Linked DNA regions of Callithrix jacchus. The protein of the gene in region 3 interacts with the protein of the main gene of each other region in a biochemical or structural test. Links are inferred from orthologs where the notes say so. Each region holds a gene or a part of one and is shown on either strand. Other genes may lie near its edges.

Region 1 (3,646 bases), on a different chromosome or scaffold from region 3:
GAGGGGGAGGAAGGGTGGCTGGGACTCTGCGGAGCCCGTTGGCCTTCTGGGTGGGCAGATCTTACCTGTGGTGGGAGGCTGCCCCCTTCCTTCCTCCAGGTGATAGTGGCGCTGGGCACGCCTGCAGCCCTGCAGTACAGCCTGACGGTACGGCCTTCGTGGACCTGGGTCCTCTCTGGGCTTACTTGGACTCTGGGCCCACTGCCCCCTGCAGACAGAGTCCCGTGAGAACACAGCCCGGGCTGAGCTCCCTCCCAGCCCCACCCGAGCCCAGCCTCTCACCATGCACATGGAGCACAGCCCGGGCCACCTGCTGCCCAGCGCTGCTGTGGGCTCGGCACAGGTACTGGGCCTGATCTGCAAACTCGACGGCTGGCAGACGCAGGATGCCACCTTGGACTTGTGCCTTCGCAGGGAGCTGGCCGTCAGGGCCCCCTGGTGAGTAGACCTGGGGTCAGCACCCACCGAGCCTGCTCAGAGTCCTGCTCCTGCCCTCCCACACCCAGGAGAGTCAGGCCCTGAATGGCATCCCCATCATGGCCTCACCTGCCCACTCGAGGCGGGGTGTGGGGCTCCCTGTGGCGCTGCAGCGGAACTCGGCCAGTTGACCTGGCTGCACTGTGAGCTGTGGCGGGTGGATGGAGACCACGGGGGCGGACGAGGTACCCGAGGCTGACAAGGGAGGAAAAGGAACATGACGTCAGCGTTGGGGAGTGTCATCTGACTCACACGACAGAGAACACTCTGCCACTCTCTCTGCTTCCAGGCTAGCCCTCCATGGCCATCTGTGCACACAACAGCCAAAGAGAGCTTTGGAAATGTCAGTATGACCTTATGACCGTCCCTCTTGAGACCTGTCTGTGACTCCCTGTTGCTTTTAAAATAAAAGCCAAAATCCCTACCCTGATCCATCACATACTGCATGCTCTCCCCTCTGCCCACACCCTTCCTCCCTCCCACAGCCCAGTCACGTGGTCTCTGCTGTTCCCCAGACACAGCAAGGTGCTCCTGCCTCAGGGCCTTTGCAAGTGCTGCTCCCTCTGCAGAGAACACTCTGCCAGCTCTCTAACTTGCTCAATGCCTACCCTTCCTTCAGGCCTCAGCTTAGGAGTCACCTCCTCAGAGAAGCCTGCCTGACTGTGTCTAGAGTAGCCCCTGCTTCTCCCATCTTGTTTTATTTTATTTTATTTTTGAGACGGAGTCTTGCTCTGTCCCCCAGGCTGGAGTGCAGCAGCATGATCTCAGCTCACTGCAACCTCTGCTTCCCGGGTTCAAGTGATTCTCCTGCCTCAGCCTCTCATGTAGCTGGGATTACAGGTGCCCACCACCATGCCCAGCTAATTTTTGTATTTTTAGTGGAGACAGAGTTTCACCATGTTGGCCAGGCTGGTCTGGAACTCCTGACCTCAAGTGATCCGCCCGCCTCAGCCTCCCAAAGTGCTAGGATTATAGGCATGGGCCATGACACCCAGCCTTCCCCCACCTCGTTTCACTGTTATGCCTAGCCTGCACTCATTGTCATGTGTAGTTATCTTGCTTATCCATTGATTCTCACACTTATGGTCTCCCTGCCTAGAACATGTGCTTCAGGAGGGCTGAGATCCCGTACATGCTGCTCTCCCCTGCTTCTGCAGAGCCTAGACCAGGACTAGGCGTGCCGCAGGTGCTCAGACATGATCAGTTGAATGAAGAAACGCTGCGCTAATCCTGGTGGGCATGGGGGGAAGCTGGTGTGGGAGGATCAGGTATAGAAGGGAGGTGTACCCTGCACGTGTAGAGTGGCTGTGCCCTGGTCCATGGCGAACATGTTGGAGCCGGTGCACACATAGGTGCCCGCGTCACTCAGCTGGACATTGCGAATGGTCAGGATGCCATTGAAATCCATGGCTCGGGCGGGCAGTTTCCCATTGTGCAGGCGGGTCCACACCAGAGTATAGGCTGGAGACTGCAGGACAAAGCAAAAGGGGGTCATGGGCGGCACTCAGAGACCCCAGAAGACAGACTCCCGAATCCCCACTCCCTGCCCTGCACACCTTGCTTTTGGCTGTGCAGATGAAGGTGACGTCGGCTCCAGGGCGCACGCTCTGACTGCGCTGCTCCTCCACGGTCACTGTGATGGGCTTGCTCGGAGCCTCTGTGGGGACAGGAAGCTTCCAGTGAGCCAGTGCTGGCTGGGCCCTGGGCCTGTGGCTGCTCTGTCTTTCTCCAAAACCTCTTCTAGGCATCACTTCCTTCCTGGTCCAGCTTAGCTCTCATTCCACCCCCTGATGCCTGCCTCCCCCATTCTGGCTGACCCCCACCATCCCCGCTCTCCTGGCCACATGGAGCAGCCACGGGATGTGGTTGGGGAACATCACACCATGAGTCTACTTGGCTCCAGTTCCTGGTCACAGACCACAAATGAGCTAACACATCACACTTCCCTCCAATTGGCTTTCTCCATCTGGTTTGAGTTTCTGTACCCCGACAACAGCTATTTCACACATCCTCCCACCTCCAGCCTCTCTAACCGCTCTTCCATTGTCACAGCTAGTGGCACCGACACACACTTGAGAAGAGAGAAATGACTAGTCAGGAGTGTTCCCAGCTCTCACATCTACCAGGTGCTGGCACCTAAAGGACGGGCCCCTTCTCGTGCCCCCACCCTGTCCCACTGTGGTGCCTCCTGAGTGCCCACCCCTCCCAAGGGCTTCCTCCGCTCTCACGACATCAGCGTCTCCTCTCCTTCTCACGCCATCACCTCCCTCCACAGAGGGCTCTCTAGAATTTCCCATTTCTGAAAACTCCCCCTTGACCTCATGCTCTCACAGCCAATGATCGTTTCCTGGCCTCCCTTCAGAGCCAAGACTCTTGCAAGAGTTGTTCACACTCACCACCTTCCCATCCATGCGTTGCCTCCTTCCAATCTGGCTTCTATCCCTTCTCTCTTGTCAAAGCATGACCTCTAAGGGCTACTTTTCTGCCCTTATCTGACTTCCCAGTGGGGAGGCTGCCCAGGAAGTCCTTTTCCCTCTGACTCCCAGGATGCCCCATGCCTCCCCTGCCTCGTGGCTGCACTCTCTTAGGCTCTTCCCACCCTTCCTCTTCCACTGGACATGTTCACGCTGGAGCTCCTCGGGACTCTGGGCAGGGGCCCTGTCCTCCGGCCACACTCTCCCTGGGTGACTTCATTCTGCCCCACAGCTTTGAACACCATCTCTGTGTCAACAGCTCCCAGACTCATTTATCTGGCTGTGGCCCCTTTCGGGAGCTCACACTCACATACCCAAATGCCTGCCTGGTGGACCCAATGAGATGTCTTCCCAAACGTCTCACTCTTGAACACGCCCACAGCAAACTTGGGATTCTCTCTGACCTGTTTGTAGCCTGCGCTGCTGGTGGCCTAGCCATGGTCCCCCAGTGCCTGCCTGCCTGACTTCTGCCAGCCACTGTGCCTCTTTGCACTGAGGGCTTTCTCGGGCCACTGGAGCCCACTGTGCATGTCCATGGGTGGGACAGACGTGCAGGGGACTTGCTGCTCCCGGAATAGGTCTCAGCCAATGACCGACAGGGGCTGACTTAGAAATACTGCAGCTCCCTGGGCCCCGGGGCAGGGTGACTCTGAGGTGCATGTTTTACACTGGCTCCCAAAAGCTTCCTCGGTTGC
Region 2 (3,646 bases), on a different chromosome or scaffold from region 3:
TCAGGCTGGTCTCGAACTCCTGACCTCAGGTGATCCACCCACCCCAGCCTCCCAAAGTGCTGGGATTACAGGCGTGAGCCACTGCGCCCGGCCTGTGAACGTGTTTCTGTTTCTCTTGGGAACACACCTGGGAGTGAAATTCCGGGTTACGTGGTGACCCTAACCTTTTGAGGGGGCCCCCAGTCTGCACAGCGGCTGTGCCATGAAAATTTCCACGCGCCCTGGGTGGGGTCTGGTTTCTCCACAGGATGCTGACGTTTCCAAGCCTCCTTCAGGACCCCGGAGAGTTTTTTTTTGGAGGAGGGGATGGAATTTTGCTCTTGTTGCCCAGGCTGGAGTACAATGGCAGGATCTCGGCTCACCGCACCCTCTTCCTCCCAGGTTCAAGTGATTCTCCTGCCTCAGCCTCCCGAGTAGCTGGGACTACAGGCACCTGCCACCACGCCCGGCTAATTTTTGTGTTTTAGTAGAGATGGTGTTTCACCCTGTTGTCCAGGCTGGTCTCAAACTCCTGACCTCAAATGATCAGCCCATCTTGGCCTCCCAAATTGTTGGGATTACAGGTGTGAGCCTTGCCTGCCGTGGACCCCACAGCATTCTAACCTCTCCTGGGACCCGTGGTTTGAGGCACTGGTTTGGGGTCAGCTCCTTTCACACTCAGGGGCCCTCCAGAGCAGAGGTCGCTGCTCCAGCGCTGCAGACAGCATCAGGCTCTGGGTCTCCCGCTCGCTGGTCTAGCCCCCCAGACCTGGCCCCGAGCCTTCCCTGTGGGCTGAGACCAGGGTGTCACTGGTCCCTGGGAAAGAAAGAGGGTTCGAGGGGCCGGAGCTGGGGGCCGGGCATCTGCCGCACGCAAGGACGCACTTGGGGTGGGCTCCGTGCCTGTCCTGGTGGGCACCCCTCCCCAGGTCCCCCAGCCCCTCCCCTCCACAACTAAGGCCCCCAGCCCTCTCCCACATCTCCCTCTCTGCCTTCCTCTCCCCTCTGGCTCCCACCCTTCTCTGAGCTCCTGTGCCTTCTGCATACCGGTCTCTCTGACCCTTTCCTCCCCAGCTCCCTCCCTGACCGCCCCCCACCACACTCGCTAAGCTTCCTCCTCCCAACCCCAGGGAAGCCATCAACCGTCTCCATGAGGCTGTGCCTGGCGTCCGGGGATCCTGGAAGAGAAAGGTGAGTGAGGCTCCTGGCCTCTCCTGGGGTGGCTGGTGGGCAGTTGGGGCCATCCTGGGAGCCCCTCCATGGCCCCTGCCCACGGCGGCCCAACCCACCGTAGCCCCACCCACAGTAGTCCCACTCACAGCAGCCCCCACCCACGGCGCCCCCACCCACGGTGGCCTCACCCATGGCAGCCCCCACCCACAGCAGTCCCACCCATGGCGCCCCCAGCCACAACGGCCCCCACCCACGGAAGCCCTCGCTGTGCTCGCCCTAACTCAGGCCCCCAACAAGGCGCTGGCATCCGTCCTGGGCAAGAGCAACCTTCGATTTGCCGGCATGAGCATCTCCATCCACATCTCCACTGACGGTCTCAGCCTCTCTGTGCCTGCCACGCGCCAGGTGGGTCTGCCCTCCTCCCCTGGCGTCCCCAGACCCCCAGAGGGGCAGGGAGATCCGGGACCCACTGAGGGAAAGCTGTGTGGGGTGCTGGGGGCGTGTGTCAGGCCCAACTCCGGCCCAGCCAGGAGGGTCTGCTCGGAGCCTCGGTGGCCTGCCTGCATGGTGGTTGGGGTCTATGCCCGCAGGGTGGGAGCAGAAATGAAACTGCACTGAGACGGCCCTCAGCCACCACCCCTCACTGGCTCCATCTTTCTCCAGCCCCCTCCCTGAAGCCCCCCTCTGCCCCTTGCCGCTCCTTCCTGAAGCCCCCATAGCAGCCCAGAGATGCTGCCCAGCCCCAAATCCCTGACCCCTGACCCCTGACCCCTGACCCCTGACCCCTGCTAACTTCTGGGCAGGTGCGTGTGCGAAGTGTGGGTGGTCAGGGTGTCTGAGTGTGAGTGTGCACACGTGTGTCAGGGCGTGGGACATGTGTTTGAGCATCTGGGCAGGTGGGTGTGTCAAGTGTGGCTGCTCATGGTGTATAAGTGTGTGTACGTGTGTCCCCTGCCCTGGAAGTGGGACCCCCGTGACCGTTCCCCTCCTGCCACCGCAGGTCATCGCCACCCACCACATGCCATCCATCTCCTTCGCATCAGGCGGAGACACGGTAAGGCTGGGGATGGGGATGGACCTGCAGCCTGCTGCCCCCTCCGGCCGTGAGACCCTCTGGCCCTTTCCCAGACCCCGTCTCCAGTACCCTCTGCCCACTCCCCCTGCCCCTCTCTGTGCATCGCTGGGGTGGGCAACTGGGAGTCCTGGTGGGGGGCCCAGGCAGGTCCAGCTGGCCCCTCCCTACCCCCAGGACATGACGGATTACGTGGCCTACGTCGCCAAGGACCCCATCAACCAGAGAGGTGAGGCCCCGGAATGGGACGGCTGGTGGGGGCCCGTGGCCGCGTGGCTGGGGCATGGCCGTGTGGCTTGGAGGCCACCTGACCGCATGACCCCGCAGCCTGCCACATCCTGGAGTGCTGCGAGGGCCTGGCGCAGAGTGTCATCAGTACCGTGGGCCAAGCTTTTGAGCTGCGCTTCAAGCAGTACCTACACAGCCCGCCTAAGGTGGCCCTGCCCCCGGAAAGGTAACTGACCCATCCCCACCCCGCCCCGGGGACCCCCAGGGACCTGTCCAGGTGCAGAGCCCGCTCCACCCCCTGAAGGCCCGAGCCCCCACCTGCCCTGGTCCCTCCCTGCCTGTGCTTCCTCTGCTGTAAAACCTGAGTTAGAGCATCCCTGCCCCCTGGGCTTCAGGGAGACATGAGCGAGCTGACTCCTGAGTGTGCCCGAGGCTGTCAGCCCTGCTGCTGTTACCAATATCCCTCCTCCAGACGGCAGCTGGCTCCTGCAAAGGGCAGAAAACGGCCTCCGTTTCCCCACAAGATGCGTTAAGTGGGGGACGTGGCTGTGTGCTGGCAGCATGCTATTTATAGATACTGAAACGTGGATGTCATGTCACTGTCACGTGTTGCCAAATGTTATTCTCTGGGTGTTTTCTCAAACACATAACTTTTAACTCATTCTTAGCTCGTGGGCCAAACAGAGCCAGGCAGTGAGCTGGCTTTGGCCTCGGGCTGGGGTTCGCCAGCCCGGCTTGAAGAAGGAGCTATTTAAGTGTCTGTTCATCATCAGAAAGTCAGGTTCCTCCAACGGTGGCGGGGCAGGTGCAGGCGCGTGAGCCCCCGGCCCCTCTGGCCACGAGGGAGGCGGCGTTGCACGCGTGCCCACTCTTGTCCCTTCGTGCACGGGGACGGTGCGCTCTGGAGCTGGGACGGACCTTCGCCTGCCTCTGGGGCGGCCTCCGCTTTCGTAGGCTGTCCTGTGATTTGCCCATCAGTGACTGCGGGCCAGGCAAGGGGCACCCTCTTCGGCTTGCTGAGGGGCGCCTGCAGGATACATCTCTGCCAGCACCGTCGGGCCAGAGGGCAGGGGCGCTCTGATCCCAGAGACTTGCCACCCTGGCCCGTGGTGTCCTGGTTCTGGGTATCAGCTTGGTTCATGCACTCTGCCGCCGGGTGGGGCCGAAGGTGGACAGCACCGGAGACCAGTTTTG
Region 3 (3,646 bases):
AAATGTAACAAATAGCCTACTGTTGACTGGAAGCCTTACTGATAACATAAACAATCAGTTAACACATATTTTGTTTATTTGTATTATATAATGTATTCTTACAATAAAGCTAGATAAAAGAAAATGTTAAGAAAATCATAAGGAAAAGAAAATATATTTACTATTCATTAAATGTGAGTGGATCATGATAAAGGTCTTCATCCTTGTCTTCATTTTGAGTAGGCTGAGGAAAAGGGGGAAGAGGAGGAGATGGTTTTGCTGTCTCGGGGGTGGCAGAGGTGGAACAAAATCTGCTTATGGGTGGACTCATGCAGTTCAAATTTGTGTTGTTCAAGGGTCAACTGGCACTGAACTGGAACTAAATTGAACTGGCTTTGAGTAAATCATCTTAATTTTTTGTTTACTTTCTTTCATTTACATCTATATCTGAGTTTACATGATAATTTGTGTGGCATCCTACTTACAAGGCTTGGAAAGGATTTTGGATTTTATGAGACTGTGTCAATAAAATGAAATTTAAAAGATTCCTTCGGTAATACTATTTATTTGAGTTATGAAAGTGGCAATAACAAGTATGATTTAGTGAGCACCTACTTCATTAACTCGTCTCACCTTCGAAGTTGATGTTGGAACTCAAGTTCCTGACTACAAAGCTGTGCTTTTGACCTCTAGGTCATGTGACATCCCTAGCAAGAACTTGAAAGTTTCTTTTGAATGAACAAAATAGAAATCACTGTGTCCTAAATTTATTTAAATTATTTCACTTGCCGAGATGCTCTTGTCAAAATGCCCAGAGAGTCATGCTCTGGCTTATGTTTTTATAGAATTACTCTTGTCCTCCAGAATACTTTAGGGAAATAGGGGCAGAAATAAGGAGGTCAGTTGGGAGGCCAATTGAAATCATCCAGGTGAGAGTTGAGGGGTGGCTTGGACAAGGGTCGTTGAGGTAGAAGTAGTGAGAAGTGATCTGATTCTGGATATGTTTTGAAGGTAGAGTGAAAAGGATCTGCTGATCAACTCATTGATTGTGGAGTAAAAGGGATAAACAGTGGAAGATGACTCGGTTGTGAGCATGAGCAACTGAGTAAATGGTGGTGTTATTTACTGAGATGGCAAAGATCGAGGAGGCAGTGAGATTTAGGGAAACGGTGTTAGGTGTGTTTATCTGCAGATGCCTGTTAAACATTCAAGTGGAGATACTTAATATATCAACCTGGAACCCACAGGAGTCAGGGCAGGAGAAGATACAACTTTTGGAGGTACATGAATGATACTTTAAACCTGAGACTAAAGGATGGTGTAGATAAAGCGGAGGTCTGAGGCCTATTAACACTTGGTGGAAGAGGTGTGTGGAGGGTATCATGGGAGCACAGGAGAAGGAGCACCCAGGCATCCCTGGGGCACTTAGAGAAAGCTGCACAGAGGAACAGGTGTTTGAGCTGAGACTTGAGAAATCACTAGGCTTGTGGGAGTGTGCTAGCGGGGAGAGAAAAGCAACACAAACACAAGCGGTGTGGGAAAAACACCGGAGGTGGGGGAGAAGCACAAGAGGTGGGGGAGAAGCTGGACTGTGACCCAGAGGGAATCTTGGAACTGCAACTGCTCAGATCCTCAAGGTCTTTGACTTCTCACTTAAAATAAAAAACTAAACCAAATGACCATTTACAGGAAGTTGACATTTATGAGAATAATTATTTTATTTTCTTCCAGAAAAACCTTTTGTTGCTTTTGGTAGTGGCATGGAATCTTTGGTGGAAGCCACGGTGGGGGAGCGTGTCAGAATCCCTGTGAAGTACCTTGGTTATCCACCTCCTGAAATAAAATGGTAACTACTGGAAATAAATGCAAAGCATCATTTCTTGTGAGAGTAAATCCTTCGACTGTACTAATTGCTGAGAATTCTTGTTCATAGGTATAAAAATGGAATGCCCCTTGAGTCCAACCACACAATTAAAGTGGGGCATGTACTGACGATTATGGAAGTGAGTGAAAAAGACACAGGAAAATACACTGTCATCCTTACCAATCCCATTTCAAAGGAGAAGCAGAGCCACGTGGTCTCTCTGGTTGTGTATGGTGAGTCCATTCAGTTTTCCTCTCCGCCCAAGATTTGTTATGATATGTTGTCTTCCTACTCAGCCAAGCCACCATTCCTCTGCCTCCTGCTGCTTCACTCACATCATGGCTGGGCCTTTGTACAAAAGTCATCTGGGGCGGTGAAGCTGAAATGTAGGACCGTGTGCTCTGGCCATGTTTGTTTAAGAGGCCATGTAAATGGGCTTTATGGTGGGAAATGCAAGATTAAAGTAGCAATACCCTCGATCACGAAATGCTGTGAAATAAGAATGCCCATAGGGACAGTTGTCAAGCTAAGTTATACTACCATTGTTCCCCTCTCACGGAATTGCCCACCTGGTATGCAGATGTGTAAGACCCTTCTCCTTGGATTTTGTGCAAAGCTTCTAGTTTGATATTGTAGTTGATGTGTCAGTGATGTACAGGTGGATTCCAACTCTGAAGGCTTTTGAAGTTGACACTGTTGGCCTGGTTGGAATCTTGTTTTCTTTTTTGACAGGAGTTCAGGATCTGATTTTGAGTCTAAAGGAAAGATAGTAAGTTTTCGATTTAAAGATGATTTGAACTTTGTGTTCGGAAACCAAATGGCACGAAGTGTTTGGAATGGAGTGGGGAGAAGGGTGCCATGGTCAGGTGAGCGTGAGAGGTGCCAAGGTGATGTGTAGATGTTGAGCAGGCTTCTTCATTGCGGGACTTCTCAGAACCTTTAATATGCTAATGCAGATTGGTGTTCTCTAGGATGACAGACAGAGAATTCAAGGTTTAACGAACCTATTTGACCACAGCTGCCTTTGTCCCCAGAGCAAATTTGTTAATCTCTCACTCCAAACAGTTTGAGAAATGCTTCTCTGCTGTAATTCTTTGTTCTCCCTTCTGGTATGGCATATTAAAATTTCAGGATGTTTTCACATGACATTAAGGTGCTTCCATACGTGTCCTGATACTCCTCTGTATGCCTGCTGAGCTTGGCTTTATTTCTTTTTTCAGGGAATATTTTAAAGATAACGGGTTCCAGAAAGGTTGCTTAGAAGTTGTGTAGGTGTAGGGGACTGGGGAGAGGAGGAACTGGGAAGTGTATAAGTAGGATGGGAGGAGGAAGTGAACAAGAAGTAAAGACAAAACATGGACAGCAGGTAGCCCATTTTATCAGTTCACAAAGCCACTAAATATTTGATTCACTTTAGCATATACTCTGCTATATGAAATAAAGATAAATAAGAAGTCAAATCTTGAAAGCATCATCTGAGGCTTTAGGTTGACAGTAATAAGGAGATAGTTTTGACTTTGCAGCCAAAAAAGATAGAAAGGAGGTTGGGCATGGTGGCTCACACCTGTAATTCCAGCACTTTGGGAGGCCGAGGTGGGTGGATCACGAGGTCAAGAGATCGAGACCATCCTGGCTAACATGGTGAAACCCTGTCTCTACTAAAAATAGAAAAATTAGCCGGGCATGGTGGCATGTGCCTGTGGTCCCAGCTACTTGGGAGGCTGAGGTGGAAGAATAGCTTGAACCTAGGAGGTGGAGGTTGCAGTGAGCCAAGATTGAGCCACTGCACTCCAGCCTGGCGAC

The links.
Region 1: the proteins of KDR (region 3) and HSPG2 form a complex in vitro, tested with the Homo sapiens proteins (2 studies listed by IntAct). The link is inferred for Callithrix jacchus from reciprocal best matches to the Homo sapiens genes KDR and HSPG2.
Region 2: the proteins of KDR (region 3) and SHC2 form a complex in vitro, tested with the Homo sapiens proteins (2 studies listed by BioGRID). The link is inferred for Callithrix jacchus from reciprocal best matches to the Homo sapiens genes KDR and SHC2.

The regions. Positions count from the first base shown.
Region 1 is NC_133508.1:58,640,230-58,643,875, forward strand, and holds part of HSPG2 (basement membrane-specific heparan sulfate proteoglycan core protein), read right to left. Parts: intron 2,135-3,646; coding exon 2,034-2,134; intron 1,946-2,033; coding exon 1,765-1,945; intron 673-1,764; coding exon 547-672; intron 436-546; coding exon 283-435; intron 209-282; coding exon 66-208; intron 1-65. UniProt on the Homo sapiens protein: Integral component of basement membranes. Component of the glomerular basement membrane (GBM), responsible for the fixed negative electrostatic membrane charge, and which provides a barrier which is both size- and charge-selective.
Region 2 is NC_133523.1:431,725-435,370, reverse strand, and holds part of SHC2 (SHC-transforming protein 2), read left to right. Parts: intron 1-1,109; coding exon 1,110-1,170; intron 1,171-1,437; coding exon 1,438-1,557; intron 1,558-2,152; coding exon 2,153-2,206; intron 2,207-2,401; coding exon 2,402-2,453; intron 2,454-2,551; coding exon 2,552-2,678; intron 2,679-3,646. UniProt on the Homo sapiens protein: Signaling adapter that couples activated growth factor receptors to signaling pathway in neurons. Involved in the signal transduction pathways of neurotrophin-activated Trk receptors in cortical neurons.
Region 3 is NC_133504.1:141,642,193-141,645,838, forward strand, and holds part of KDR (vascular endothelial growth factor receptor 2), read left to right. Parts: intron 1-1,710; coding exon 1,711-1,825; intron 1,826-1,912; coding exon 1,913-2,076; intron 2,077-3,646. UniProt on the Homo sapiens protein: Tyrosine-protein kinase that acts as a cell-surface receptor for VEGFA, VEGFC and VEGFD. Plays an essential role in the regulation of angiogenesis, vascular development, vascular permeability, and embryonic hematopoiesis.